Linked DNA regions of Cricetulus griseus. The protein of the gene in region 4 purifies or fractionates together with the protein of the main gene of each other region. This does not show direct contact. Links are inferred from orthologs where the notes say so. Each region holds a gene or a part of one and is shown on either strand. Other genes may lie near its edges.

What was found.
Region 1: the proteins of Nup153 (region 4) and Tnpo1 purify together in Homo sapiens (co-immunoprecipitation; 3 studies listed by BioGRID and IntAct, with this or other methods). This does not show direct contact. The link is inferred for Cricetulus griseus from reciprocal best matches to the Homo sapiens genes NUP153 and TNPO1.
Region 2: the proteins of Nup153 (region 4) and Kpna2 purify together in Homo sapiens (co-immunoprecipitation; 4 studies listed by BioGRID and IntAct, counting the BioPlex papers as one, with this or other methods). This does not show direct contact. The link is inferred for Cricetulus griseus from reciprocal best matches to the Homo sapiens genes NUP153 and KPNA2.
Region 3: the proteins of Nup153 (region 4) and Nup133 purify together in Homo sapiens (co-immunoprecipitation; 3 studies listed by BioGRID and IntAct, with this or other methods). This does not show direct contact. The link is inferred for Cricetulus griseus from reciprocal best matches to the Homo sapiens genes NUP153 and NUP133.
Region 5: the proteins of Nup153 (region 4) and importin subunit alpha-5 purify together in Homo sapiens (affinity purification with mass spectrometry; 3 studies listed by BioGRID and IntAct, with this or other methods). This does not show direct contact. The link is inferred for Cricetulus griseus from reciprocal best matches to the Homo sapiens genes NUP153 and KPNA1.
Region 6: the proteins of Nup153 (region 4) and Nup50 purify together in Homo sapiens (affinity purification with mass spectrometry; 8 studies listed by BioGRID and IntAct, counting the BioPlex papers as one, with this or other methods). This does not show direct contact. The link is inferred for Cricetulus griseus from reciprocal best matches to the Homo sapiens genes NUP153 and NUP50.

The regions. Positions count from the first base shown.
Region 1 is NC_048595.1:317,694,818-317,700,461, reverse strand, and holds the start of Tnpo1 (transportin-1), read left to right. Parts: upstream 1-2,341; 5' UTR 2,342-2,476; coding exon 2,477-2,491; intron 2,492-5,644. UniProt on the Homo sapiens protein: Functions in nuclear protein import as nuclear transport receptor. Serves as receptor for nuclear localization signals (NLS) in cargo substrates.
Region 2 is NC_048600.1:119,947,818-119,953,577, reverse strand, and holds the start of Kpna2 (importin subunit alpha-1), read left to right. Parts: upstream 1-2,445; 5' UTR 2,446-2,585; intron 2,586-4,063; 5' UTR 4,064-4,086; coding exon 4,087-4,161; intron 4,162-4,522; coding exon 4,523-4,660; intron 4,661-5,760.
Region 3 is NC_048596.1:200,580,668-200,584,427, forward strand, and holds the end of Nup133 (nuclear pore complex protein Nup133), read right to left. Parts: intron 2,187-3,760; coding exon 2,050-2,186; 3' UTR 1,357-2,049; downstream 1-1,356. UniProt on the Homo sapiens protein: Involved in poly(A)+ RNA transport. Involved in nephrogenesis.
Region 4 is NC_048596.1:266,384,636-266,389,726, reverse strand, and holds part of Nup153 (nuclear pore complex protein Nup153), read left to right. Parts: intron 1-248; coding exon 249-440; intron 441-3,201; coding exon 3,202-4,080; intron 4,081-5,091. UniProt on the Homo sapiens protein: Component of the nuclear pore complex (NPC), a complex required for the trafficking across the nuclear envelope. Functions as a scaffolding element in the nuclear phase of the NPC essential for normal nucleocytoplasmic transport of proteins and mRNAs.
Region 5 is NC_048597.1:53,690,137-53,695,783, reverse strand, and holds the start of importin subunit alpha-5, read left to right. Parts: upstream 1-1,891; 5' UTR 1,892-2,049; intron 2,050-5,647. UniProt on the Homo sapiens protein: Functions in nuclear protein import as an adapter protein for nuclear receptor KPNB1. Binds specifically and directly to substrates containing either a simple or bipartite NLS motif.
Region 6 is NC_048595.1:381,782,008-381,786,658, forward strand, and holds part of Nup50 (nuclear pore complex protein Nup50), read left to right. Parts: intron 1-1,476; coding exon 1,477-1,595; intron 1,596-2,872; coding exon 2,873-3,075; 3' UTR 3,076-4,651. UniProt on the Homo sapiens protein: Component of the nuclear pore complex that has a direct role in nuclear protein import. Actively displaces NLSs from importin-alpha, and facilitates disassembly of the importin-alpha:beta-cargo complex and importin recycling.

The DNA.
Region 1 (5,644 bases), on a different chromosome or scaffold from region 4:
GCTTTAATGATGGATAAGAGTTATTATTTAAAACACATTTTTAATTTAGGCTAAAAGATAGAAACAAAGACCACCTAGATAAACATCTACCCAGAACCAATTTTTTAAAAATGTGAATGCACTTTATTTAATTAATTTTTTGGTTTGGTTTGGTTTCTAGAGACAGGGTTTCTCTGTGTAGCTTGGAGGCTGTCCTGGAACTAGCTCTTGTAGACCAGGCTGGTCTTGAACTCACAGAGATCTGCCTGTCTCAGCCTCCCAAGTGCTGGGATTAAAGGTGTTGGCCACCACGCCTGGCTACCCAGAACCACTTTACAGTAATGTTTTTAATTCAATGCTATGAAAGAATAGATTCTTGATTTATCTCATGTCAATCTTATAACATCTGATAACCAAATATTTTTTAAGATTTTGAGGGAATAAATCTTCTTACATATATGAATGAATAATCAATCCCTCCTCCCTTCCAATTAATTTCATTTATTCCCAAAGTATTATCTAGGTGAATCCATGTTAATTGCTTGGTAGGTTTTTTTTTATTTTATTTTACTAAGAAAAAAAATGTATCATTTCAAGCAAAATTAGAATTCTTTCGAATTCTCTGTACGCACTTACAAGCTTGGTAGGTTTTATAACTGTCATTAATTGCTAATCTTTCTGATTAGTTTTAGATTTATTTATGTGTATGAGTGTTTTGCTGACATGTATGTCTGTGCACTATGTGTATGCCTGGTGTCTGAGGAGGTCAGAAGAGGGCATTGGATCCCCTGGAACTGGAGTTATGAAGTTATGATCTACCATGTGAGTTCAGGAATAGAATGCAGTTCCTCTGGAAAAAACAAGGGTTCTTAACCCACTGAATCGTCTCCAGCCCCTAATCTTTTAGATTTAAACACAATTTATTTTATTTTTTAAACTCCAGGGATGTAAAATTCAATTACCACAATCTTATACAAGTCCCTATTCTACAATGCAATCTTTTAAGTACAAAAATAAGACTTGTTTGCATTTTCCCTGCAGTAAATTTCCTTGGAGACACCAAACAGCTCTGGAGAAAGGTTTTCATTACATTGTTTTTCTTAGGAACATATTTCCTCTTAGAAACCTCCTTCCAACGTCTAAGTTAACTTTATAAGATGTTGATATGCATATTTTAGTTACTTGATTTTTTTTTTAGACTAGGTTTCTCTGTGTAGTCCTGGCTGTCCTGGAACTCTCTCTGAAGACCAGACTGTCCTGGAACTCAGTAATCAGCCTGCTTCTGTTTCCAGAGTGCTGGGATTATAGGTATGCACCACCACACCCAGCCATGTTTTAGTTATTTTAAATATTTCCTCTTCTATGTTCATCTTTCTGATAATAAAATCATCTTTTAGTCTAAAAGTTTGAGTTAAACTAATTGTAATGAGTATTACAATAGAAGATTCCTAAGTTTCTTAATAAATAAGCCATCTTAATAAATATTTAACATTTTCTAAAATTAGGTACTATAACTTTATGTATAAAGTGATGAAGAGCAAACATTGCCTAAACAGAAAGTATGTGACACTAAGGCAGTTAAAAATGCTAGTGTACGGATAATTCTCACTGACAACTCACCTTAGGAAATAAGGAGCACCTTGCTATGCTCCTTATTTACAATATTCATACAGAGTAAATTTGTGTAAAAATAATCAGGCAGGGAAGGAGAACAATCCGTATCCCTTCGTTACTATCATGACAATTGGGTTTTAAAATGTCTACCTCTCCCATTTTAAAAACATTTTCACTTTGAAATTACAGTACTTTTCTCATGGTTGCTGTATAAATCGAGAAGAGCTAATTATTTTCAAGCTCAGACTAGTTTTATATTAGATACATACCTAGAGAATTAATTTAATTTTCTAAATAGTTTCATTTGGTTTATACAGTGCTAGATCAGCACATCTCAGAAGCCCGTCTGGTACCAAGCGGGTAGCGGTCCGCCCACATCCATCTGCCTAGTACTGGGGAAGCTGTCACTGTTCGACTGTGGCATAGGAGGCGTTTGGTGTCGCAGAGGCTCCCGGGGCTCGGCTGCCACTCGGGGGCTGTAGCGGGGAGACACGAGTGTGGCCCGGGCACGTCACCTCCTGGAAGGGCCCTGCATCTAGGCGTTCACCCTCTCGGGCTGGGCCTGCGGGGTCGCGGCGGGCGCGAGGGCGTGTGAGGCGGGCGCGGGGCCGAGGCCGCGACCCCGGGGTCCTCTCGGGAAACCGCTGCCGGGCGCCGCCCGACGCAGGCCCTCAGGCCCGCGGGCCCAGGTCGCGGTTTTCCCAGCCCCGCCGCCGTTGCCAAGGCGACCGCCGCCGAAGATTCCCGCGCCGGGCTCCGCCCCCCGGCCAATCGGACCGGCGCTCGCCCGAGCCCAGATTCTCTTTGTTCCGCAGCCATTTCAGGCCCCGGACGGGAGGCAGCGCCGCTTCGGCAGAAGGCCCGAGCGCCGGAGGCCTCTGGGATGGTGTGGGACCGGGTAGGTGGCGTGAGGGTGCGTGGCCGGGGCGGAGGGGCGGAAGCGGCCGAGCGAGCTCCGACCCGCCGCCGTGCCGAGGCGACGGAGCTCGGCTGCCCGCTCTCCTGGACCCGGCCCGGCCGTTTGGAGCCCGCCGGCGACGGCGCGGTTCTAAGCCCAACAGCTGCCGCCCCGGGCGCCCTGCGGGACCCGGACGAGGCGGGTGGCGCCCCCGGGGAGGCGGGAGGGCGGCTGCCGGGGCGGGCTGGTGCGGTGCCTGTCAGGCCGCATCGTGCGAGGGCCCGAGGTCGCCGGTCTTTGTCCCGGAGCTCACACACCTCGGTTTCTGCAGCCGTCTCCCCCGAGGGCCTGCTGGCCTGGCGACGTGTTTACATCGTTTTAATGTTTGTAACTACGGGTTTTGCTTCGGTTTGTGGGGTTTGCACGTCTGTCCCTGCCCTGTCCGTACACGCCACGGGGAACGGCCGCCGAGGCACAGACCCGCCACCACAATCAAACTGGTTTTAGAAAGGCTTTCTTCCTCTTAGAAATGATCTCGCGTTGTTTAATTTTTTAATCACGTGGGTTTTGCAGGGATTGTTTACAGTTTCACTTTGGTATGCCAATCGCAAATCAGCAGCGGTAACTGTAGAAACGAAGTTGGAGGTTCTCCACTAATTGGGAAGGTTGTATGAAGCCGCTTAGTTTGTCCTGCTGTAAAACAGTAATGGCTTCAGTGAGTACGTAAGCAGTGCTCCCCCTCCACCCCCCGGGAAAAAAAAAGATGCTTAAGTGCCAAGTGTTTGGTGAAATCAGTGTTTGGAACCGACTTGTCTGGAATATGCCCTTTCAGACGTATTCATCATTAGGATCCCAAAAGTACCTGCTGGATTTTAAGTCTCCTTATCGAATTTTTTCATTTAAGAGTGATAAGAAAGTGTACTTGATGAAGTAGGAGGATTTGGGCTTTGGGGAGAGGTTATGGTTTCTACCCCCTACCCTGCGTCCCAGTTGCTCTAGAGAATGGCTGTCCTGGGTGAAAACTTGGAACTGCAAAGGGAAAATACTAGTTTAGAGGTTCGGATTTCTTTTAAAATCCTTGACACTTGGGTGTGGGTGAATAGTGGTTTGGCAACACTGTTTTCACTTGAGTCAATATAAGCCTGTTGGGTATGAGTGTTTCATTTTCCTTTTCTGAAAAGGGCCCTCCACCTTCCATTAGCTTTCATGTGCTTCCATCACCTCCCCAGTCAGGATACTGAATTCCTCCCATTGAAAGACTTATAACAAATATTTTTTGTACGTCTTCCTCCATTCCTAGAAGCCTTTTCATTACATAATATAAACAGAATAGATTTGGGGGCAGGGTAAAAAATATTATCCTAGCTGTGAGTATTTCATTATCTATATTTGTTATAGTCATTGTTTTCATGACTGATTTTTCCTTATTTATATAATGTTAAAGTGATTGTGTGCATTCAGTTTTCTTAAAAATTGAATAAATTACGTTGAAATGTGAACAAAGTATATTTAAAGGAATTTCTTGTATTTGCTAACCATATTGGGTTTTGCAAGCATTTTTTTAGGAAAAGAAGTCAGGTTATAAGGGAAGCGAAATCAAGTTACACATGAAGTAAATTTAACCAGTATAAACAGAAAAGAGGAGTGCAGAGCAATGGGGATTGCTTTTCTTTGCCAGATATAAAGAATGTGGTACACAGGGCTATGGTGTACACCTTTAATCCCAGCACTCAGAAGGCAGAGGCAGGTGGATCTCCCAGTTCTAGGTCAGCCTGGTCTACAGAGCCAGATCAGGACAGCCAGGGCTACACCAGGGCTACACCTGTCTCAAAAGGCTCATCCCTCCTCCCTCTCCCACCCTTTCCCATACTGTCTTACTTGCAAAGGTTGAGAAAGCTGAACTAGAATATGAATAACTAATGAGGTTTTCAAAATCATGGAGAACAATGCCCTTTCGAAAAAGGGAGGGTTGGAGTGAGTGAAATTTCTCACAAGATGAGGGCCAACTTGCCTAGTGTTAGCCAGGGTCTGGCAGGTCAGAGAGGGGGTGAATTCACAGTAGGACAGATGGTTGTGAGAGAGGGTGGTTTGTGATGAAGTAGGTAGAGGTTAGAGAAGACAGGTTTGAAAAGTGCATTTGATTGTGTGGTTCTGAGATGTCCAGGGAGTGTTCTTGGAAGTACTGTCAGGTGGTATAATAAGTAAGAATGTTAGCTTTTAAATGTCTCAATGATCAAATGAAATATTGAAACAGGAAATGCAGATGGAGTTTTGTCTTGGAATTTCTTTGTTTTTGTTTGTTTGTTTGTTTGTTTGTCTTTTGAGAAAAGGTCTCACTCACTCTGTAGACCAGGCTGGTCTCAGACCCACAGAGATCCACCTGCCTCAACTCCCAACTCCTACCCCCAGTCCTGGGATTCAAAGCATGCTCTACCACATGTGTCTGCCTTCAGATTTTTCTGAAATAGATCCCAGAATGGTGGCCACATCTTATTTCCAAAAGACAGTCAGTGACAGTGGAACTATTTGAACTCAGAGGAAACTGGTTGCTGTTGCTGTGAAGACCATACAGTTGGAATCAATGGGTGCCTTTCTAATGGTTGACTTCATGAAGTAAGATAGAGCTATCCTGTGTGGGGTGGACATCAGGAAAAGACACTTTAAGGCCCTTTGTAATTCTCAGTGTAACTTGAAGCAAGTTACAATGTCTCTGTTTTTTGTCTGATTATGTTCAGAGAACTAAGTGAGTTAGTACAATAAGCTCTCATAACCTGGCCTACATGTAGTGAGTACTTCACGGATCACTACTGTTCTTGTCGTTGTCATTTTGATTATTTTGGCAAACTAAGAAATAAACATAAAACCAATCTCAAGACTGTATAACCCTCTCAATAAGCCCTTTGTGTATTTCCTTTCAATATGGGTTTTTGTTTTCCTACAGTTGAAGTTTTATTACATAAGGAATTTTCTGCTTTTTAGAAAAAACCTGGTATAAATGTTTTGTTAAACTATTTAGTTTTTTTTGTCTGCTTTTTTAAATGACTATGTAATGTCTGTGTGAATTTCTCCTAAGTGAAGAATTTCTAATTTCTTGTAGTTATATAAGAAACACTGCAATGAACATCTTTGTACATAAAACAATTACTGCAGCTT
Region 2 (5,760 bases), on a different chromosome or scaffold from region 4:
ATCAGCTTTGAGAAGTAGTGCAGGATGTGGATCAGAACTCTCAACATTTCTCTCCAAGTTCCTTATTCAGAGTTTAAGACTCAGAAGTTGTTCCTACCTCCAACTACTAAACAAAGGACATAGGCGCCCCAAAAGGGTGCATTTAGGTCGTGTGCCTGCCCCTGAACCATTCACAGCAGCCAAGAAAATGCCTGGCGGTGATTGGTTGAGAATGGATTCCTTCCACATTCTTGCATTTAGCAGGTCAGATTGGGAGCAACAAACTGCCTGTGAACTTCTCGGCTATGCTAGAGAGAAACTGGCATGGATGCCTTCGAGAATAGACAGAGTGTACTGCTTGCATTTATTTGTACAAAATAAGCCACTACAATTTTCCTAAAATACTCCTTTAAAGCACCCAGAAAAATTTCAAGAAGAACACAAAAAATGGCTCACAATCCTGATGCTTTTAAATATCTTTCATGTTTGAAAATAATTAGACCACAAAAAATGAATACAGATTGATGATAGCATGGAAATTGAATTTTTCCTGAAATTGAGGGTTTCCAGTGTGGTTATATAAAACAATCTCTCTTTTAAGAAAAAAAAATTGTTTTTATTTACTTTTATTTATTGGTGTTTTGCTTGCATGTATGTCTGTGTGAGGGTGTTGGATCCCCTGGAATTGGAGAACTGGAATTATAGACAGTTGTGAGCTGCCATCTGGGTGCTGGAAATTGATCCTGGGTCCTCTGAAAGAGCAGGCAATGCTCTTATCTCTGAGCCATCTCTTTTCTGCCCCCATCCGAATCCCTGAAAAGTATTTCTCTTTGTAGTCCTGGCTATCCTGGAACTCACTATGTAGATCAAGCTGGTCTCGAACTCACAGAGATCCACCTGCCTCTGCCTTCTGAGTGCTGGGATTAAAGGCGGTGTACACTTGTATTATTGAAGTTTTGCCTGGTGGTGGTTTCACACACCTTTGGGGGAATCTTTGTGAGTTGGAGGCCAGTGTGGTCTACAAAGTGAGTTCCAGGGCAGCCAGGGTTACACAGAGAAACCTCGTCTAAAATAAATAAATAGAGAAACCCTGTCTCAACCCCCCCCCAAAATAATATAAAATAAATAAATAAAATTCCAAAACAACAAACCAAACAGAATTAATGAAGTTTTAAAGAAAGTGTAAGGTGAAAATAGGCACTTAATAAGCCATTTGTTACCATATTTGCTGCTTTGTCTTTTTATTTCCCAAGTAATCTGAACATTTGACATACAACTAGATAAAGTGGAACATCTCTGTAATCCCAGAATTGGTGCTGAGGTAAGATTGCAACAGGTTCAAGGCTAGCCCCGGCTCTATTGTTGAGACCCTGTCTCACTCCTAGTCCCCGTAATAAAAATTAAATAATCGCTGGGCATTGGTGGCACACGCCTTTAATCCCAGCACTCGGGAGGAAGAGACAGGTGGATCTCTGTGAGTTTGAGGTCAGACTGCTCTACAGGCAGATCTCTGTGAGTTCAAAGCCAGCCTGGTCTACAAGAGCAAGTTACAGGACAGACTCCAAAGCCACAGAGAAACCGTGTCTCGAAAAACCAAAATAAATAAACAAATAAATAAATAATCAATAAACAGTAAAAACAACAACATAATAATAGGGGGCTAGAGAGATTGCTCAGAGGTTAAGAGCACCAACTACTCTTCCAGAGGTCCTGAGTTCAATTCCCAGCAACCATATGGTGGCTCACAACCATCCATTATGAGATCTGGTGCCCTCTTCTTGTGTGCAGGATCATATGCAGACATAAAGCTGTATACATAATAATAAATCTTAAAAAAACAACATAATAATTAATACACTACACACAATGATTATTAAAAGAGCCACACAGATCTGCTTCACTCCTTTCTCCCAGTGACCAGCCCCTGCTAAACCTCTGGTGTTTCGATGAGGAAAAAAAATGAAAATCAATGTATTTATGTTAAGCATTTGTTATTATTTTGGTGGGTCCTTTTTCAGACGGGGTCTCACCATGTAACCCTGGCTGGCCTCACTATGTAGACAAGCTCGCCTTGAACTCACAGCAATCCTCCTGCCTCTGCCTACGCCAATTACGCCAGGCTAAACTTTTATTTTTTAAGATAACGCGTCTAATAATAATTCCGTGTATTTGCTTAAGGGCAGGCCCCAGAGAGAGCAAACAGGGCTCTGCCCAGCGTCCCGCCTAGGCAGAGACGACACACACCCTTCAGCGTCGCGCGCCGAGCTCCGGGATCACCACTCTTGCAAGGCACTCTGGGATTGTCCGGCCGCTCCCTCATCTCGCGATGCTACCCTCCCCTCCACCCCACCCCCACCTCCTCCCTCCCCCAGGCCCGGCGTCCGTGCCCCCCCCAACGTGTTTTTCAAATCCGCCAATGAACGCACAGCTTAGGCTCAAACCAGCCAATCGGGATGCGGCGTCACCGGGAAATTTAAATCGCGCCGGCCGGCAGCACGAGGCACAAAGTCTGAGGGCTGAGGCGCAGTGGACGTTTCGAGGGCCGCCGACCCCGCAGGCTGAGAGCCCCGCACCGCCTTTCGTGGACGCCTGAGCCGGCTGAGCAGGTGGGAGCCGCGGCCGGGCCTGGACGGTAACGGCCGGCCGGAACGCGGAGCGGGCGGGAAGGCGGGAGCAGGCCGCGCCGGGCGTGTGCTGGGCCTCCGTGCCCAGACGAGGCCGCGGGGCGGGGTGGTTCCGCCGTGCCGGTGCCGGTGCCAGGCCTGGCCGCACCGGTCGCTGCGGAGGGCGGCGCAGGCCCCGCGAGGGGCGGCGTCGGGGACACCGGCCGCAGACGAGCGCACCCGGCTGCCTCTCCGCCGCTTTCCCGCCGCTTCTGCCCGGGGAGGGTCGGGGCTGTGGGCTGGAGCGGAGGCGGAGGCGGAGTGGTGGCAGTTAGGACTCCCCCGTGAGACGCTTGAGCCGGGCCGCCGGCGCCAGCCTCGGGGAGGAAGTTCCCGAGGTTTTCGCCTCGGTAGCAGATTGTCACATTGTGGCGATCACGCCTGCGATAGAAAGTCGAGCCCCAGACAGTGTCCACGGCTGGTGTCACTCGAATTGAATGCACAGACCGGAAAGCCTGTCCTGTCCAGGGCGTGCGGGACGCTGAAGACGCGGTGCCAATGTCACTGCTGACAGCGAGGGTTGTGGAAGGCTCTGTAACGCAACCAGCCAAGTCGCTGTGTAACCTGATGGAAGGTGCCTGATGTATGTGTATGCATTCGGGCCATGAATCAACAGAAAAAGACCAGAAGTGCCTTTATTGCCTTAAGGAGGTAGATTGTTAACTAAAAACCAGGCGGGGTGCCCCTAGTCGGTGTCCAGAATGTGGAGCCCCGGCTTAATACCGCGCTGGCCAGAGGCTTTAGGTCATTGAGTTTGTGAAAAGCCGATAATCTGAGTTGAGATGCTCTGCGTGCATAAACTACACATAGGATTCTGAAGGTGTATTAAAACGGTGAAACATGTTTATTTTTCTATGTTAATTTCATTTGTTGCTTTTTAGCCTTTTAAAAATGTGGTTAGTGGAAAATTTAAATGTTTGATTAAAAACCTGTTTCTGATTGACAGCTGCGTTGCCAGAAGTTTAATCCCTTTGCAGGAGGAGCACTTAACCACTGGACTTAATGCTGTAGCCATAAAACTGAAAGCTTGTGGGTTTTTCTTGTCTAGCATACAGATGGAGTCAATATATAGTTGATTTTTATTTTATTTATTTATTTGGTTTTTCGAGACAGGGTTTCTCTGTAGCTTTGCAGCCTATCTTGGCACTTGCTCTGGAGACCAGGCTGGCCTGGAACTCACAGAGATCGGCCTGTCTCTGCCGAGTGCTGGGATTAAAGGCGAGTGCTGGGATTAAAGGCGTGCGCCACCCACGCTCGGCTTTGATTTTTATATTCTAGTTGGCCTTAAACTCAAGAGACCCGCCTTCCTCTGCCTCCCTGGTGCTATGATTAAAGGCGAATGTTAGTATGCCCCGCCTGGCTTCTGCTGTATTCTTATTTAAAAAGTGCTCTTTTTTTTCTCACCCTCCCTTGTCTACTAGCTTTCTCCCGGATTCCTGTAACCATGTCCACCAACGAGAATGCTAATTCACCAGCTGCCCGGCTTAACAGATTCAAGAACAAGGGGAAAGACAGTACAGTGAGTACCTTCTGTCGACACTTTTAAATGGAAATAAGAAGGGGTGTTTATATAACACATTTTAGGGATTGAATCCAGTGCCTTACTGATGTTAGATGGGTTCTTTATTCCTGAGTTTTATCTCTAGTCTTATTTATTGTGTGTCTGTGCATACCTGGTGCAAATGCAGAGGTGAGAATGACAGCTTGCAGGCAATGGTTCCCTCCTCCGCCTGACTCTGCAGGATTGAAGTCCTGAGACTTGGTGGCAGGTGCCTTTTAGACAATGAGCCATCTCTTGCTGACCTTTGAGGGGTTTAAAGAAATGACTTGTCAGGAAAAGCTTATAGATAAAATGAGGTGTTGTGTTGTCTTTTCCTCAGGAAATGCGGCGCCGCCGAATAGAAGTTAATGTGGAACTGAGGAAAGCGAAGAAAGATGACCAGATGCTGAAAAGGAGAAATGTCAGCTCATTTCCCGACGATGCTACTTCTCCTTTGCAGGAAAACCGAAACAATCAGGTACATACCTAGACAGTGCTCTCCCTCCCTGTATAACTGCTGTGGCTGTCCTGGAACTCTGCAGAGATCTGCCTGCCTTTGCTTCCTGATTGCTGGGATTAGAGGCTTGTGCTCCCCCCAAAAAAGAATAAATGTCTCTTAGAAATTAGAATTTTTTTTTTGAGGGGGATTGGTTTCTAGACAAAATTTCTTTGTGTGGCCTTGGCTTTGTCAACCAGGCTGGCCTTGGACTCAGATCCACCAGCCTTTTTGCCTTAGGAGTACTGGGATAAAAGGCATGAGCCACCACTGCTGGCTAAATGTAAAAATTCTTGGACATGCCTGGTAATCTACTTTTGACTGTTGAATGTATGACAATTCTTTGTTTTTTTTAAGATTTTTAGTTTTTTAAGAAGTGTATTTGTGTTTGTGTCTGAGTATGTGCAGGAGGCCAGAGAGGTTATGTCCCCTAAACTGGAGTTACAGGCAGGTATAAGCCACCTAATAATGTGGGTGCTGTGGATTGCATTTGGTCCCCTGCAGGATCAATGCATAGCCCCTGGGGAAAAAGATCCGCCCCCATGTTCCCCACAGGGTTTCTGTGTAGCCTTGGCTGTGGCTGTCCTAGAACTCACTCTGTAGACCAGGCTGCCTCTGCCTCCAGAGTGCTAGGGTTAAAGGCGTGCACTACCCTAGTGATGACCTGCCAGGAGTAAGGCAATGTTGGGCACTTACTAGCTTTTTGGTTTTTCAGGATAGGGTCTTTGTGTGGCTTTGGATCCTCTCCTGGCACTCACTCTGTAGAGCAGGTTGGCCTCGAACTCACAGAGATCTGCCTGCCTCTGCTTCCCAAGTGCTGGGACTAAAGGAGCGTGCCACCACTGCCCAGCCAGTATTTTTTCCTTTCTTTTTAACATTTGATCTCTTTTACTATTCTATGTCTTAGATGTTTCTGCTTATTTTAATTTTAATCTCAAAGTAAAAAGGTAATTGTTTTTTAATTAATATATTGTTGGGTCTGAGACATCCTTTTCTTCCAAACTTGTTTTCTGAGACAGGATCTCATTATGTAGCTCTGGCTGTCCTAGAACTCATGTAGGCCAGACTGGCCTCAAATTCAC
Region 3 (3,760 bases), about 66 Mb from region 4:
CCAGGGATAGTGGTGCACACTTGTAGTCTTAGCACTTGTGAAGCCGAGGCAGGAAGACTGAGAGTTTGAGGCCAGCCTGAGCTGTATACTGAGAACTTATCCTAAAAAATGTGATGTGATTTTTATATATATATATATATATATATATATATATATATATATATATATATATAAAACAACATATATACTTTTCAGTACATATTTCATTTAGTATGTAGGTTCTTGTCATCTTCAGATGGAGTCTCACTATACAACTGGTTTGGACCTCTCTATGTACACTAGATTGCTCTCAAATTCAGATCTACCTAGCTCTGCCTCCCAGGTGCTAGGATTAAAGGTATGTGTCACTATATCATACGTGGACTTTTTTTGGTGGGGGGAAGGGTGGTTTTCAAGACAGGGTTTCTCTGTGGCTTTGGAGGCTGTCCTGAAACTAGCTCTTGTAGACCAGGCTGGTCTCGATCTCAGAGATCCCTGCCTCTGCCTCCCAAGTACTGGGATTAAAGGAAAAGGAGTGCGCCACCACCGCCCGGCTCATATGTGGAATTTTTATACATGAATATATAATCATTCTGAGGATAGAATGGGAGTGGGTAGGCAGTAGTGGGACCGTAGTTAGCCTGGAAACACTCAAGAAGATGGGATAATGATAGCTAGCCTGAGATGCCATGAATCTGTCTTGGAGATTGCTGGCACTTCCCACAGCAGCCAGTCAAGAGGATAAAATGAAATCTCTGCCTCTATACCCCCAGGGCCCCTTACTGGGGTTTACAGAACAACATCCATGGGCAGTGTTTGTGAAAGGACCAACTATGGTGAAACTGGAAACAATCAGGAAATCATAGACTCAGGCTCACTGACTCAATACTGAGATTACAGCCAGTGTAATCACCATATTTGGTAGCAGTGACAATTTACTGATAGCTCAGAAAGCCACACAAACATCTTACTCACTAAAACACTTTTAAGATTCATCCATTATTGATAGGTGTGGTGTCCTTTAACTCCAGGACTTAGGAGGCAGGTGGATATGAGTCTGAGGTTAACCTGTCTACAATAGTGAATTCCAGATCATCCAGTTACATAGTAAGACCCTATCTCCATGTTTGTTGTTGTTTGTTTTAATCAATGTAGAAAGTGAGGAACATTCCCCATGAGTTACCAGCTGTCACCTTTCATGAGTTAAGAGCCTCTATATTTGTTTCTCAGTCACATAGTAAGTCAATAAAATCTGACATTCAGTTTGCTAAGTAGGTACGTCCCTCTGGCTTTGACCTAAAGAGAGATCAACATCCCAGAGGATCTTTAGTGTACCAAATCCAGAGTCACAGTGACTCCAAAGACAGATTAGAGCAATCTTGAAAAACACTGTTTTCCTTAATTTTTTGAAATTAAAATATAATTAAATTATTTTTCCTTTCCCATGCCCCCTCCAACACCTCCATGCTCCCCTGCACTCAAATTCATGGCCTCTTTTAGTTGTTGACCTAAATATATAAGCACAACCTGCTCGGTCCACAAAATATTATTTGTATGTATATTATTTAAAGGTTGACATTGGATAACGAACTAGGGGGAGGGAGTGGCAATCTGTTTTGGTTTTCAAGTCCAGACCTTGCTATGCTGTCCAGACTGGCTTTGAACTCAGTATCTTCCTGTCTCAGGCTCTAGTGTTGGGATTACAGGTACATGTCACCAAACTTGACTCAACCTTACAATCCTCAAAACAGACATACTATGCACAAGGAGGCAGTGCCAGAGAAAAACTGCATGCCTCACTGGACCAAGGGAGACTGGAGAAAGGGCAGAAACACAGAAACAAGGGTGACTTCAAGTAGAAAATGAGAAGAAAATATCTTACAACTGAAAGAAAATCAGGGTTATGCCCCATTTTATATTATAGCTCCCAAATAAAGCATTGAAAAAATACCTGGCTGCCACAGATGAAATTATATAAACTTTTAAACTGATTAAAACTTACTTTTTTGGCATCAAAATTTTTATAAGCAAATATTTATAAAATTTTAGAAGCAACAATTTCTACAAATGTCATATCTGTCCCTGAACATAATACTCATAATTTGCTTTTAGAACAAACTCAAAGTAAGGATTGGATTTCAGGCTTCCCAGCTGGTCTGCTTGAAGTAGGTCCTTCACCTCTGGCAAGTATTCGCTGAGCTGGATGCCTGCAAACAAAACACAGTCACTTATGATTTCAGAGATTCCCCAGTGAATGAGAGGCTGGCGCCAGTCACTAACATGCCCCATACTGGAGCCTCCTCCTAATCACAGTGCCGTAGGTCTGACAACAGCTTCTTCAGTGCCACCTGCAGGCTCTCACTGGTCAAAGCAGCCACTTCAGGTGAGGTCTGCAATAGTCTGCAATTGTCATTTTCTACACTTAATTCCAGCACTCAGCACTCTGAAGGCAGAGGCAGGCAGATCTCTGTGAGTTCAAGGCCAGCCTGGTCTACAAAGCGAGTGCCAGGATAGGCTCCAAAGCTACACAGAGAAACCCTGTCTTGAAAAAAAAAAAATCAAAAGACATTCTTTCAATGCAGAAGTTTTCAACTAATAGTCATTTCTGTGTTACCCTAACTGGGGAATAATATAATAGAAATACTGTCACAGAGCTGGCCACAATACCATAAAGGTATCAGTTTAATGTGGATGGCTGTCCTTCCAGTGCTCAGGATGCTGAGGGAGGGAATCCCTTGAACCTGAAAGCCCAAGACCAGTCTGGACAGCACAGTAAGACAGTCCCAAAGAAATAAAAACGCACATACAGCAGCATTTCAACTGAGTCAGAGACTAGAAGGATAATGGGGTCAGGAAAGCCAGGAAGCACCAATCAATGGACTATTGAAGCCACAGCAATTACATTTAACCTCACTTGACCAAGAAAATGGAACGAAAACTTTTAAATGAATAAGATCATATAATTTGTTGTATGAATATCAGATTGTCTGGTTTTAAGGAAGATAATCCTGGGGGGGGAGTACTTGTCCAGTAAAAATATTCTTGAAGCATCCAGCACCATCTTTTTGAATTTTTTATAATGATAAATTGAATAATTCTGCACCATCAAAAAACAAGGGTCTACTGAGCAACTATGTACCAGGTAGGGGTAGGTATGTTTTATGTAGATTAAATGATACATCTTGCATACATAAGCAGAGCAAATGTTGGGGTCATGTGAATGCCATCCCAGTAAATACCATTCATATTCACTCTGCAGGATCACTGGACTTAGGATACATGTCACTGTATGTTCTTCAAATATAGCCCTGAATCTAAAAGATCTGCCAGAGGTAGGTTGGTTGGGCTGCATACTGCCTGGACCTGGCATGCTGGGTTTTGATCTAATGGATTTTTTTTTTTAATTTACTTAATTTTTATTTTATGTGCATTGGTGTGAAGGTGTCAGAACCATTGAAACTGGAGTTACAGACAACTGTGAGCTGCCATGTGGGTGCTGGGAATTGAACCCAGGTCCTCTGGAAGAACAGCCAGTGCTCTTAACTGCTGAGCCATCTCTTAAGCCATCTTTTGTTTTTTTAAAGATAGAATTTCTCTGTATAGCCATGGTTGTCCTGGAACTTGCTCTGTATACCAGGCTGGCCTTGAACTCAGAGAGATCTGCTTCCCAAGAGCTGAGATTAAAGGTATGTATATACCACCACCCAGTGTTTTGATCTAGTAATTCTATAAGAATCATACTTTTTGTATGTTTGTTTTGTTTTTTATTTTCCAAGACAGG
Region 4 (5,091 bases):
TTGCAAGTACTTGAACCATTAAACCATCATACCAGCCCCAAATTTTAAACAAACTGGGAATAGTTCAAACTTGAATTTAGGAATAACCTCACTACTGAACAAGGTTAAAAGCAAGATGTTCATTTGCAATGTTAAACGAAATCTGAGAAGTCTGTCCTATTTATAAACAATTAAAGGCTTCCTTTCTGTTTTTATGTGTTTGGGTGGGGATAAAGTAACATGTTCATCAGTTTCCCCATTGCTTTTAGGTTCAGTATCTGCCTCAAGCAGCAGCCCTGTGTCTGCCTCTCCGTCTTCTGGAGGCTGTCTAGGATTGGATAAGTTCAAAAAACCCGAGGGAAGCTGGGACTGTGAAGTGTGTCTAGTGCAAAATAAACCAGACTCTACCAAGTGCATAGCATGTGAAAGTGGAAAGCCAGGCACAAAGTCAGAGTTTAAAGGTAAGGTGTTGGTGAAGAAATCCTCTAATGCCTGGTTAAAAGTGAAGTGTGTATGCGGGGGCAGATTTGTTTGTTTGTTTGAGACAGGATTTCTTGGTGTAACAATCCTGGCTGTCCTGGGTCTCACTTTGTAGACCAGGCTGGCCTTGAACTCACTGAGATCCGCCTGCCTCTGCCTCCCCAAGTGCTGGGATTAAAGGCATGTGCCACCACCTCCCAGGCCTATTTGTTTTTGTAAGGTACCTATCCACTGAGTAATTATGTAAAATGAGACATGGTCCTTGTTTTTTTGTTGTTGTTGTTATTTATGGATGACACCAACATTAGTTGCATATCAGCGTCTTATGCCATCTGTGTATCTGGGTAAAGAACTTTGTGTTACCCAGTTTCCAGATTTGGGTATGAACTTACACCCTTAGGACTTTACTGTAAGTCATTTAGCCTCTGAGTATGTCTGGGTAACAGAGAACTCTAAGCAGACATGGTGACATAACCATGTACTCCAGCATTTGCATCATCCAAAAGCCCTGCCTTACTCAGTGGACAGTGTATGTTATTTTACATACCCTGTCTCTGGTATTCTGACACCAAGTGTCAGCTGTGGTCCTTTCCTTTTCCTGGGATATGAATTCATAATTGTTTCTCTTGTTCATGGCTGATACCTTTCCCATTGATTTCGTTACTGCACATGCCCAGTAGTCACATTCCAAAGCCACTGGGCCACTTGAGTGCATCAGCTTCGCTGTTGAGTAACCTAGCAGTGAGACTTGGAGCGCTTCCTGCAGATGACTGACTGTTGAGTATTTACATGGACCATGGTCATATCCAAAGGAAAAATGCTTTTATATTTATTGATTATTTTATTGAACTATATGTAAAATGGGTATCAATAAATGTATTTACTCCCAAAACAAAACCTAGCCTTCTTTTTGGTTTTTCGAGACAGGGTTTCTCTGTGGCTTTGGAGGCTGTCCTGGAACTAGCTCTTGTAGACCAGGCTGGTCTCGAACTCAATAGAGATCCGCCTGCCTCTGCCTCCCGAGTGCTGGGATTAAAGGCGTGTACTACCAACGCCCGGCTAAGCCTAGCCTTCTTAGTACATGAAAGTACAGGAAGAACTTCACATGGTCATTGAATATATGAAGGCTGGCGTTTCATTTGCGGTACTTCCATGTAGATTTTATAGTCAAAGCTGTACAAAGCTTAGGAAAGAAGACATATTTTAGAAATTTTAGACCTGAATATCAGGGAATTTCTGAACAGAGTTAGCCTCCAAAATGGGAATACAGAGGGATTTCTTTCTCTCTCTCTTTCTTTCTTTCTTTCTTTCTTTCTTTCTTTCTTTCTTTCTTTCTTTCTTTCTTTCTTTCTTTCTTTCTTTAAGATTTTATTTATTTATTATGTATACAACATTCTGTCTCCACATATACCTGCACACCAGAAGAGGGCACAAGAACTCATTATGGATGGTTGTGAGCCACCATGTGGTTTCTGGGAATTGAACTCAGGACCTCTGGAAGAGTAGCCAGTGCTCTTAACTTCTGAGCTGTTTCTCCAGCCCCTACAGAGGGATTTCTATATGCTAGGCTTTATTTTAAAATTTACCAGAGTCTTATGTTGCTTTCAAACATTGCAAATCAAAAGTCAAAGTTTTGATCCATAACACCCACTTTATGTTCGTCTGCATGATTGGTTTGGCTGTTCTTTCATTTCCAGGCGAGTAATGTGTGGCTTATCTGTTTTGCGTCTAATTAGTAGTCCTTGTTTGGAGTCAGTCAAGTACTTCATGCTCAATTTCTGCTGCAAGAGAAAAGCTCCAAGGAAATAGATTTTGGTCTTAATCACTGTAATGATGTTTATCTTTATAAATATGGCTTCATTTCATATCTTTTTAATGCTAAATATTTTTAAATGCTTTTGTCAACAACATAATCAAAATATTTAAAAATTGAGATCAAGGGTCTCCTGTTTCTACTGGCTCTCTTTTCAATTTTTTTGTCTCTCTACAAAGGTAAGAGGCACGGCTAGTTTATCACTATACCTTCCAAAAGTGCTTTACACCTGTCCTAAGCAAACACATTGCCATTCTAGACCCTCCCTCCCTTCCTCCCTCCCTTCCTCCCTTCCTTTGTTTCTAGACAGAGTTTCTTTGTGTAGCTTTGGAGCCTGTCCTGGAACTCACTTAGTAGACCAGGCTGGCCTCGAACTCACAGAGATTGACCTGCTAATGCCTCCTGAGTGCTGGGATTAAAGGCGTGCACCACCACTTCCCGACTCTTCCTTGTTTCTTGTCAGAAATTATCACCCACCTTTTCTGTTTGCCTCAGTTTTTACAAAGGATATAAGTAAAGGATAAAAGGTTTTTATCCTTTTGGCATGTTTTTGACTTTTAATCCTTCATTGATAACTGCCTGGATCTCATAGCATTTTGTGTGTCTGAATTTATCATAAGACAAATCCCAGCTATAAAATTGCTGAGGCTCAGAGGATATATGATTTAGGTTTTTGTGGGTTCTTTTTTTTTTTTTTTTGTAATCATTGATAGAACTATATATATCTCAATACTTTGGATGCTGCTGTAGCCCTAGCTACAGGATAGGGAAGTGCCTACTTCTCCCAAGTATACACGCCTATCATCTTTCTTGACCTTCCAGTCTTACAGTTGGAAGTGGCATATAGGCCTTTTCAGGGGTTGTATTTGTTAGGGTAAGCACATTAATTTGGTGTTTTTTTTTTGTCTGTGTGTTTTCTATCTTTGAAGGCTTTGGGACATCTTCATCTTTAAATCCAGCACCCTCAACCTTCAAATTTGGTATTCCATCGTCCTCCTCTGGACTTTCTCAGACTTTTGCAAGCACTGGAAATTTTAAATTTGGAGATCAGGGAGGATTCAAGTTAGGAGCTTCATCTGACTCTGGGTCTACAAACACCATGAATACAAACTTTAAATTTTCTAAACCAACTGCAGGTTTTAAATTTGGAGTGTCTTCTGATTCTAAACCTGAAGAAATTAAAAATGACAGCAAGAATGATAATTTTAAGTTTGGACTTTATTCTGGCTTAAGCAACCCAGCTTCTTCAGCTCCATTTCAGTTTGGGGTATCTACTCTTGGGCAGCAAGAAAAGAAAGAGGAGCTCCCTAGGTCGTCATATGTAGGCTTTAGCTTTGGTGCAGGTGTTAGCAACCCCACCACGGCTGCTACTGATACCACAGTGACCTTGGAGAACAAGAGTGGCTTCAACTTTGGAACTATAGAAACTAAGAGTGTCTCAGTGACTCCTTTCACATATAAGACAACAGAAGCAAAGAAAGATGATTCTTCTGCCACCAAAGGTGGATTCACATTTGGTAAAGTGGAGTCTGCCTCTTTGCCATCTGCCTCAGTGTTTGCTTTGGGAAGGACAGAGGAGAAACAGCAAGAACCTGTTACTTCTACTTCTCTGGTTTTTGGAAAGAAAGCCGACAATGAGGAGTCAAAGTCTCAACCAGTGTTTTCCTTTGGAAATTCAGAGCAAACCAAAGATGAGAGTTCTTCCAAGCCGACATTCAGTTTCAGTGTGGCAAAACCATCTGTGAAAGAGTCTGATCAGTTAGCCAAGGCCACTTTTTCGTTTGGGAATCAAACCAATACTACAACTGGTAAGTACTTAATGGCTTTATTTATTTATTGTTTATAAGTTGTATTTGATACCTTGACAATACAGGAAGTCAACAAATGACTGTCAGAAAATAATGGAGAATATTGGTTTTTGAAATCTTGAGGAGGGCTGGAAAGATGGCTCAGAGGTTAAGAGCATGTCTGCTCTTCCAGAGGTCCTGAGTTCAACTCCCAGCAACCACATGGTGGCTCACAACCATCTCTAGTGAGATCTGGTGCCCTCTTCTGGCTTGCAGGCATACATGCAGACACAGTACTGTATACAAAATAAATAAATCTTTAAAAAAAGTCTTGAGGAAAGAGCTCATGCTTTTCTGTTTTAATTGAACCAAATACCCATGGTTGGAATGGGATACCTACAGATCTAATTTTGAGAAATACAGCTGTAATTGAATGTGCAGAATGGGGCACATTATATATGTCTTAATGTCATTTGGACACCTTATAGTTGATGCATGCTGTCAGGGAAAAATCTTATGTTGAATTTTAGTTTACAAACAATTACCGATAATGAGTGAAAGTGAGGAACATAGAGAGTAAATATAGTTTAACTCTAAGAAATCAGGTAATTTGGGGAACTAGAAGGGGATACAAAAGCCCATTAAAAAGCTAAAGAAGGAAAAAAACTAGAGAAGGTTGTTGAAGTAAAGCCTTTTGCTTATGGAATAGTAGAAAGAGCATCATCTAGCTCATTATTGTAATGGGGTTTCCCAGAGCAGTGTTAAGGATGGACAGCTGCATCTGTAAGTGACTTTGAAATTGAATGATATAGGGAAACACTAAAACATTGACATAATGGTTCCTGTGTATAAAATAAGACACTGAGACTGGAGAGAAGGGCTCGGTAGCCATGCATGCTGTTCTTTAAAGATGATACAAGTTTGGTTCCCTGTGCTCATTTCAGGTGGCTCAAAACCACCAGTAGTACACACCACACACAGAGTTAAAATTTAAGATAGACATTGACCTTAAAAATGGAAGTTGGCCATTAA
Region 5 (5,647 bases), on a different chromosome or scaffold from region 4:
CACTGAGATCCATCTGCCTCTACCTCCTGAGTGCTGGGTTAAAGACATGCACCATTACACCTGGCTTCAACCTGCTTTCTTTCTTTCTTTTTTTGTTTTTGTTTTTTGTTTTTGTTTTTTGAGACAGGGTTTCTCTGTGTAGCTTTGGAGCCTATCCTGGCACTCAATATGGAGACCAGGCTGGCCTCAAACTCACAGAGATCTGCCTGTCCCTGCCTCCCGAGTGCTGGGATTAAAGGCGTGATTAAAGGTGTGCGCCACCAATGTCCGGCCTTCAACCTGCTTTCTTATAGAACCCAGGACCACCATGCCAGGGATGGCACTGCCCCCATGAGCTAGGCTCTCCCCCATCAATCACAAATTAAGAAAATGCCTTATAGCTGGATCTTTTGGAGGTTCAATTTTACTCAATTGAGGTTCGCTCCTTTCAGATGACTCTAGCTTGTGTCAAGCTGACATAAAAGTAGACAGCACATTGGCCCTAAGTCTCTCTGACAGAGCACTTTCTTTTTCCAGCTGCCTTGCTCAAACTTAGTTCTGATTGTAATAAATAAACACGATGATGCAGAAGGGAGTCAAGTTTGAGGGAAGGATGGAGGGAGGGAGGGAGTTGTTCTAGTTTGCTTTCTATTGCTGTGATTGCACACTAACCAAAGCAACTTGGAGGCAGGCATTCCAGCTTACATCTCTAAGAGGAGCCAGGGCAGGAATTCAAAGCAGGATCCTGGAGGCAGTAACTGAAACAGACCATGGAGGAAATGTGGTTACTCTATCATTCTCAGCTTACTATCTTATACAGCCCAAGGGTGGCACTGTCCACAGTGGGCTGGGCACATCATGAGTTAGGAAAATGCCTCACAGACATGCCCACAGGCCAATCTGATGGGAACCAGTCTCCCATTCAGGGTCCCTCTTACCAGGTGACTCTAGTTTGTGTTAAGGTTATTAAAACCGCCACTGGAGCCAAGACAAACGACCATTGCTTTACCTAGGATTCAGTCAGTGTGGTCCTTTGTCTCCCTCTTTCTTACATTTATAAGGGTGTTGACGCCGTCTGTTGCTCTTCAGTATTCCTTTTAAACAGACTCGTTAAACCATGTCCTGTGTGTGAAATTCTTCAGTGACCTCTGCTTGGCTTGCTTAAGGTGTTCTTTTGAAGCCACAACCCTACTCTCCAGAAAGAAAAACAATCATTTTCCTAAACATTTTGTTTGAGAGAACTTACTCAGATCAATGCCAATGTTTTTACTAAAAATTAACATCATCGAGCCAAGGTGTTCCTACGTAGTAGTCATGCCGGTCTAGAACTTGCCATTCTCCTGCCTCAGCCGTCCCAGTGCTGAGTGGTGTGCTAACGATCCAGGCTCAAAAATTATTTTGTTAATGTTTTATGGGACTAATAAATTACTAGGCAAAATGGGAGAGAGCCGAAGAGAATACCCAGAAGGTTCCCACAAACGAGTGGCGTGTGAATTCTTTGAACGTGAGGCACTGACGTATTTCGCGATACTCCCTCAGCCTCCAACCATGCCATCGTTCATCCAATAAGCGCGCTCGGTGTGTGAGGCACCTACCATGTGAGAGGGTGGCTATGGAGATGTGAGGTGTGTGGGGAGGGCGGTATCCGTCCATTCTAGAAGAGCTTAGTAAGGACACGTTTGTCTCCATAACTTGTACGTGTCTTTACTTTTCCGGACTGCAAACCTCGTTCTCAGAGACCCACGCCCTGGCCGCGTCCACTCGGGAAAGAACGCTTCAGAGACTCCGCTTCCCGGCAGCCCCTGCGGCGGGCGGCGGAAAGGCGCACGCAGGCGCGCAGGCCGGCCCCCGCACGCAGGCGCACTGCGCACGCCGGCTGAGCTGGGTCTCGCGGCTCGGTGCGCGGCGGCGGCGCGGCGGCGGCGCGGGCGGCGGCGAGAGCGAGGCCTGGTGAGCGCCGCCGTGGTGCGCGCCGGCCGGTCAAGGTTGTGCGCGGAAGAGGCGCAGCGGGCCGACAAGAAGCGAGCGTCTCACCCTCACGGCGGCACCGGGACCGGTCGCCTGGAGCCGGTGAGTGGGGGGCTTCCCCGCGGCCCCTCCCCCTCGGCGGGCGGCTCTGGTTCCCTCCGGGGACCCGAGGGAGGCCCCGGGGCGAAGGCGGACGCGGGCGCCGGCCGGGAGCTGTCGCTGTCGCGCCGGGGACCGGACCTTCGCGTCGCTCCGGTGCGTCACGGGACTGGCGGTTCTAACGGCCCGCGCGGCGGCGGCGGCGGCGGAGGAGCGGGGTGGGGGTGGGGAACGCCGGTCGGGGCGGGGCGGCGGTGGAAGCGGCGTCGGGGACTGCGGGGCGCCGGGCGGCGGCGCGGAGTCTGCGCGCCGCGCTAGGCTGAGGGCGGGGGCGGAGGCGGGTGTCGCGGGGTGCGGTGGCCGAGGCCCAGGCGTGCGGGGCCGTTCCGGGAGTTGGCAGGTTACCGCCCGGGCCGGTGTTTGGAGGGAGGCGGTGGGGGTGGAGACGGGAGGCTGCAGTTTACAGATGTCATAACTACGCGGGCCTGGAGCTGCTGACGGGGGTGTGGTAATTATAGCAATGACAACTTGGTCGTCTGTGTGAGCGGTGATGCGAGGGAAACCGCCAAGCGTTAGCTGAAGCTCGCAGTGGGAGCAGAAAACTGGAGGGCGACTGAAGTCAGGGATGTCGGCAAGAAAGAAGGAGAGGGTTGAATGCGTGCGATCCTCTTGGCAATGAAAAGTTTCAAATGAATTGATTTTCTTTTTAAGGCTTAAACTTCGGTTTGGTAAACTAGTATCAGAATCAACAACGGAGAAATGCTTTTGAAATTCTGTGTGAAACACTAACATCTATCCTTTTTTTTTCCCCTTAAAACAGTTCCTTCAAATCCCACCTCCCTGTCACTCTCCCCCCCCCCCTTTTTTTTTTTTTTTTTTGAGGATGGGTTTTGCTTGGTAGGCTGTCTTTGTGCTTGTCCTGGCTTCTTGGGTGCCAGGATTTCCATCACCCTAGATGATATTCCCACGTTCTTGTTGCTTTGTTGCCTTTTCTTTGTTTTTGAGACAAGGCTCACTATGTAGTCATGGCTGGACTAGCACTGGATACATTGCCCATGGTTGTCTTGAATTCAGAACTGTCTTCCCTCAGCCTCTCAAGTGCTGGGGTTTTAGGAACAACAGCATGCCTGATTGACTCATACAAATTCTGAGACAGGGTCCCTTTACATATTCCTCCTAGAACTCACATGTAGACCAGGCTGTCTTTGAACTTAGAGATCCACCTGCCCCTGACTCGTGAAATTCTGGAATTAAAGACATGTACTGTCACGCCTCCATTGTTTTTTTTTTTTTAATGTTTTAACTTTTTTTTTTTAAAGAATTATTTATTATACAGTGTTCTGCCTACATGTATGCCTGCAGGTCAGAGAGGGCACTAGATCTCATTGCAGATGATTGTGAGCCACCATGTGGTTGCTGGGAATTGAACTCAGGACTTCTGGAAGAGCAGGCGGTGCTCTTATCCTCTGAACCATCTCTCCAGCCCTCACACCTCCGTTTTAAAGTTTACAAGGTCTAAATTTTGAAAGGAAACTGAGAGTGATTTGTCTGTAATTTTGGTGAAATAACTTATTTTTTGTTACCTTTTTATGTAATGTTTTTGGATGGGTGATTTAAAATAAGATGGAGGTCTGAGAGGAAGTAAAATAAAACAAATTTACAGTAACTTTGAACTAGATGTTAACTTTTCCTAGTATAGATGAAAGCATGGAAGAGCACAGTATTTTCAGAATAGCTTGTTTCTTAAACATATTTTGCTTATTTTTTATGAATGTGAGTGTTTTGCCTGAATATATGTAATGCATCATGATCGTGCCTGGTGCTTACAGAGGGCAGAGAGGGATTTAGATCCTTTGAAACTGAACTTGCAAAGGGTTTGAGCTGCACTACGGGTGCTGGGAACCAAACATGGGTCTTCTTCAAAAGCAGCAAGTGCTCTTAACTGCTGAACCATCTCTCTCATTCAGAAATCACTGGAAGAAGATGGCATAGCTCTTGAAATCTTAGTCGTAGGGAATCAAATTGTTACTCATTGACTATAAAGAGTAAGAGCTAGGGCCGGGCGTTGGTGGCGCAGGCCTTTAATCCCAGCACTTGGGAGGCAGAGGCAGGCAGACCTCTGTGAGTTCGAGGCCAGCCTGCTCTCCAGAGCGAGTGCCAGGAGAGGCTCCAAAGCTACACAGAGAAACCCTGTCTCAAACAACAACAACAACAAAAAAAAAACAAAAACAAACAAACAAAAAAAAGTAAGAGCTAGTAGCTTGTGCCAATAATACTAGCATAGCAAAGCCTAGTATGGGGCAGGAGTGTAGCATGCCAGAGGCCTGGAGTTGACCGCACACACAATTTTACAAAGAGCCTGACAAAATCAACCCTGAAAAACCTCCAGTAAAGTAATGAGAATAAAGATATTACTTGAAATCAAATATTTGGATTATGCTTTTTTTCTTTCTTTTTGAGACAGGGTCTCTCTGTAGACTCAGCACCCTTAGAACTTTGTAGAGAAGTTGGACTCAAAGTCACAGATACCCACCTGCCTTTGCCTTGAAAGTTCTGGGAATAAAAATGTGTCTCACTATGCCAGGCTATTATGCACATTTTATTTTATTTTCTTGGGGCCAGGGATCCATTTCCTAGACTTACACATACTGGGTTTGTGCTCTGCTATGGGACTATGTCCCCAGTCCTTGTATTATGTGTTTTTTCTTGCATTATGTATTTTTTGGTGGTTGTCATGTAATGTTATATACCTTGACTTTTATCTAGAATTGACATATGCCAAAGGGAACTAAAAAAAAAAAAAAGTAAAAACACCCCTGCAAAAACAACAACAAAAACCTTTGTTGCTTGTGGTAGCCTTTTAATTTTACTAATTTTTATGTGTGTGGGGTATATATATTGGGATTGCAAGCACATGATTTTTCAGCTTCCTTGAGAAAGGGTCTCATTGAAGCTGTTTTTGCTTGTTAGCTAGACTAGCTGGCTGGCAGTTGAGCTCCGGAGATCTGCATATCTGCTCCTAAAGCTGGGTTTACAGCCATGTGCATCCATGTCCCTATTTTTTTATTTGGGTGCTGGGCAGTGAAACTCATACCCTCATCCTCACCCAGTAAGAGCGCTCACCCACTGAGCAATCTCCCCAGCCCTGGCTTTTTTGTTAAAGATTTATTTATTTATTATGTATATAGTATTCTGCCTGCATGTATGCCTGCAGGCCAGAAAAGGGCACTAGATCTCATTACAGATGGTTGTGAGCCATCATGTGGTTGCTGGAAATTGAATTCAGGACCTCTGGAAGAACAGCTAGTGTTCTTAACCACTGAGCTATCTCTCCTCTGTGCCCCCCCCCACTTTTTCTTTAAAAAAACTTTTTATTATGTGTATATGTGAGTGTATGCTTCATGTGTGGGGTTGCCTGTGAGGAGGCCAGAAGAGAGTGTTTTGGATCCCATGGAGTTGGAATGACATACAGGCAGGGGTCAGCTGCCCAACATAGTTGCTGGGAACCTAATTTGGGTCCTTTGGAAAAACAGCAAACTTACAGGTACTGAGCTATCCTTTCATCCCTAGGTTTTTTTTTTTAATTATTTTTTAAAGTAAA
Region 6 (4,651 bases), on a different chromosome or scaffold from region 4:
CACCATCACCCAGCTTGGCCTGTTTATTTTTAAAACAAGCCAATTCTAAAGATGTGCTGGGCACATCCTAGCTCCTCTGTAAAGCGAGCTGCTTCTCTCCCCGTGAAGTGCTTTAGAAACATACTTCATGACCTTCTTCTCGCTCTCCTTTTTTCTCCTTCTCTCACAAAAAAAAAAAAAAAAAAAAAAAATCACCTTCTGCTGTAAACATGGAGGTGGCTGTGGTCCCTAGGATGGGGTGGGCCTTTCTGTGGCTGGGCAACCACAGCCAAAAAGTTAGGCACAGCTGTTCCTTCCTGTTAAGGATGTATGAACCTGCCTCTCCTCTGCTGGTCTGAGCTGCCTCTCTGTGAACAAGGCTGGAAGGGAAATTTAAATTCTGTTAGGAATTAATTGTACTGAGATATTTACTGGGAAGCATTTATCCTGAAAACGAAGCTTCCGGTAATGTTTTTATAACAGACATTAGAGTCTTTCCTATGTTGCAGATGCCATGGGCCATGGAGTTCTTGTTTTATTTCAAGAACTTTTTGGGCAGTAACAATTTTAATTTTAATAATACAAGTGACACATAGGGAAGATCCTGACTTTCCAGTTTTGTTTTGTTGTGTGGGCTTCTTCATTGGAGCAAGTCAAATGAGCAAGCTTGTTTTTTTTTGTTTTTCGAGACAGGGTTTCTCTGTGTAGCTCTGGGACTCCCTCTGTAGACCAAGCTGGCCTTGAACTCATAGAGATCCACCTGCATCTTCCTCCTAGTGCTGGGATTAAAGGTGTTCACCACTACAGTCCAGCTTAATTTTGTGGTTTTTGTTGTTTGTGTTTGTTTTGAGTTGGGGTTTAATTGTGCAGCTCTGGCTGACTTTGAATTCAAGACCCACCTGCCCCCACCCCTGGAGTGCTAGCTGTATTTTAGGGGCTTCTGTTAACATATAGGCTTGGAAAACAGTGCCCTACTTTATCCAGAGTCACACCTTATTCCAGATTTATCTCAATATCTTAGGGGATCAAAAATGTAAGGCCTAAAGAGAATTTGAAAAAAATTATTAGGGGAAAAGCTGGGTGAGGGAGATGCAAGACTGCTTGGTCTGTGCCTGTCCTTAAAGGGCCAGTCTGTTTTGCTACTCAGGACCAGGGCACCTGAGAGGGCAGCAAGAAGTGGGTCACCTGAGAGGAAAGATGGTCTCAGGTGTTAAAGGGTTTGTAAGGGACTGTGATTGTTCCTCACTAGCAAAGTTTGCCTCAGTGCCCACAATCCTGGATTCCATGTCCAGCACTACAAAGAAAGGCATGGGGGGTGGGGTTAGATTCTAGAATATCTAACTAGATTATCCTACTCTGGTTTTTGAACCCAGGTAGATACCATCAATCTGGTAAAGATTTATTATCCTCTTACCCACCCACTGCAGTTGATTCACAGAAGATGGTCAGCAAACATTCTTGTTGAGTGTCTGATCGTGTCTGTTGTTTTTCCCACAGGTGTAAACTATTTTACAAGAAAGACAATGAATTTAAAGAGAAGGGTGTGGGGACCCTACATTTAAAACCCACAGCCAATCAGAAGACTCAGCTCTTGGTGCGGGCAGACACCAACCTAGGTGGGTACAGAGCCATCACGGTTCATACAGAGAGCTTTGTCTTGACCCTGCAGTTCTTTGGATTTTGAAGCTCAATAATAGGGGTTTGTTTTGTCTTATAGTGATCATGAGGTCAAATTTATATTCTGGTTACTAATATGGATGTGATTTGAGTATCAAGAACATTGTGTACACAGTGTAGGTGTATTGTTAAAAGCTATAGTGGAGCCGGGCGTTGGTGGTGCACGCCTTTGATCCCAGCATTCAGGAGGCAGAGGTAGGCGGATCTCTGTGAGTTCGAGGCCAGCCTGGTCTCCAGAGGGAATGCCAGGATAGGCTCCAAAGCTGCACAAAAAAGTACCGCAAAGGGTTTCTTTCCGTATGTTGGAATGTGGCAGAAGAGCAGCGTGCATGTGGGATGGTTTGGTGAGCAGAGTTTAAGGGGGTCTTTGTGGGAGGGGAGTTGGTACATGGAGGCCCAAGGTTATTAGGTCTCATTCTTTAGCTGATCTCTACCTTATTTTTGGAATAGGATCTCACTAAACCTGAAGCTATTGATCAGCTTGGCTGGCTGGCCAGCCAGCAAGTCAGGGATCCACTTGTTTGTGCCACAGCCCTCACTCCTACATCCCACCCCACCCCTTCTTTAAGGTGGGGTTACAGGAATGTACTGCTGTCCCTAATTTTTTACATGGGTTCTGAAGATTTGAATTCAGGTCCTTGTGTTACATGCTTAGCAATGGGGCCATCTCCAGCCCTAGAGAACATTTGTTTATAGAACAAGAATACCACGCTGCTGTCCCCTCTGCCCCACTCCAGCCAACCCTTGCAATAGTCCATTAAAAGAATAGCTCTGACAGCAGTGGGCCTGTGATGTGTGGTCAGTAGTGGAAGACTGCCAGGCATCACTGCAAGACTTCTAGGGTTCTCTTTCCTATGACTTGACTTTGACAGTGTCACTCTAATGTCACTCTTGCCTAGGGGGAAGTCTGGTGAGAAAAACTGTCCTTTGCTGACCCCTTAAGTCCCAAGAAATGGTAAAGGTCAGGGTTAGCCAGTAACAATCTGAACAAGGCTCCGCCTTGGAGACTTCGGGGTGTGTACATCTCCCTTAGTGCCTGCCAACCCCTGGCTCCTCTCCAGCATAAAGAAAGCCTTTGTGGCTATAACCTTTAACACACTGAGAGTTGCTTTAATGTTGACTCTTTAGCCTCTTAAAGAATTCTACAGTTTTGATATTTATTTTATATATTTTTATGTGTTGTTTTGATAATTAATTTTCCTTTGTTTACTCAAAGGCAACATACTGCTGAATGTTCTGATTCCACCCAATATGCCGTGCACCCGAACAGGGAAAAACAATGTCCTCATCGTCTGTGTCCCCAATCCCCCACTGGATGAAAAGCAGCCCACAGTCCCGGCCACCATGCTGATTCGGGTGAAGACGGGTGAGGATGCAGATGAGTTACACAAGATTTTACTGCAGAAAAAGGATGCCTGAGCACTGAGGCTGACCAAGGAATGTTGCCACATTGCTGCTTCCCCTCTGCACCCTAAACTTAGTCACATTCTTTCCTCTTCTTATTGTGACATTCTGAGAACTTTTAGGTAATGGGAACTTCTATGAGGAAGATTAAGGCCAATAAAACCTCTGGGTGTATCAGCTCTTCTCCTTCCTGAGGACTAAACAAATACATTGAAGTCAAAATTTGGGAAGATTTTTTAATGTTGATTCATTGAGTAAACTAACCTAAGTGATTCTTAATGGACTGCAATCAGGGTACCAGTTAGCTCTCCAAGGCTCCTTCAGGCAGTGTGGGCTCCGCCTTCCTGCCTGCCTCGGGAGACCCCATGGCAGTGTCCCACGGCACCCCAGAAGACACCCATTTGCTCCCCTCCTGTGGGCTTGTCTGACCCATGACTAGCACTCCTGCCAAACACCATGCCACCACACTGTGACTGCACTGAATTGTTTGTGTTGGGTGTCTCTGTTGGGCGTCAGCCTTTTGGCAGGTGCTGGCCTTTGACCTGGGGCTGCTTGACTGATCCAAAAACTGCCTTTTCATGAAAAGGACATGAGTGGTTCGTGGGGGAGCTGGCGATGTAGACTGGGTTTGTCATTTTTATCCAGGAGGTGCTCTTATTTTACCCTCTCAGTTAATGTGGAAGGGGCTGTCAGGAAGAATGGACTTTAGAAGCACAAATTTGGTAGCTTTTTTATATCATTTCTATACCACAAACAAGCCTTTATTTTAAGATAAAAGTGAAGCCGTGCTGAAAAGGGATGTGTGCTCATGGCCGTTGCTGCCCTGGTGAGCCCTACGGGCACAGCCTGAATGGAGTCCTCAGGAACCATGCATTCATGAGAAGCAAGAGTGTGGGAGTGGGAAGCCGACAGTTTGGTCTGTAGCTTCAGACAGCAGCATGTTACTTGGCATCTGAAAAACTCATTTTTATTTTTATTTTTTTAAGGATGAGATATTGAGTGTGTCTGTTTGGAAGAGAGCCATGGTTCTGCATGGGCCATTCATGTCACGTCAGAGTGGTGAGGTTACTAACACTTCATTTTCTGAAGACCAGACATCAATTAAATGCAAGATCTGATGCCTAGCTGGTCATGGTTCCCACCTGCAATGCCAGTGCTGGAGAGGCTGAGGCAGGAAGACAGTGAGAGCTAAGCAGCCTGAGCTATAGTAACCCCCCCCCCCAAAAAAAAAGATTGAATGACTAAAGCTTCACTCTTAGTCCTCATCAAACCATTCAACACTAGGACCAGATCTTGTCTGAAGGCTCAGGGTCAGTGCCCAGGGGTGCACACTTGTATGCTCAGTCCATACATAATCACAAAACATGATGGCACAGTTCTTCCTCAAAACTGCAATGTTGGGGGTAGGAGTGAAACCTAGTTCACTTTTACTTATGTAGCCATGGCTGGTTGAGAACTCAGATCTACCTGCCTCTGCCTCCTGAGCCCAAGCTGGTTAACTTTTGTTGAGGTGGGATGGTAATGTTACCACTTTGTTATAGGGCTCTGTGCTCAGCATTTTGGCATATATCCATGAGTGGCGTGCTTGTGC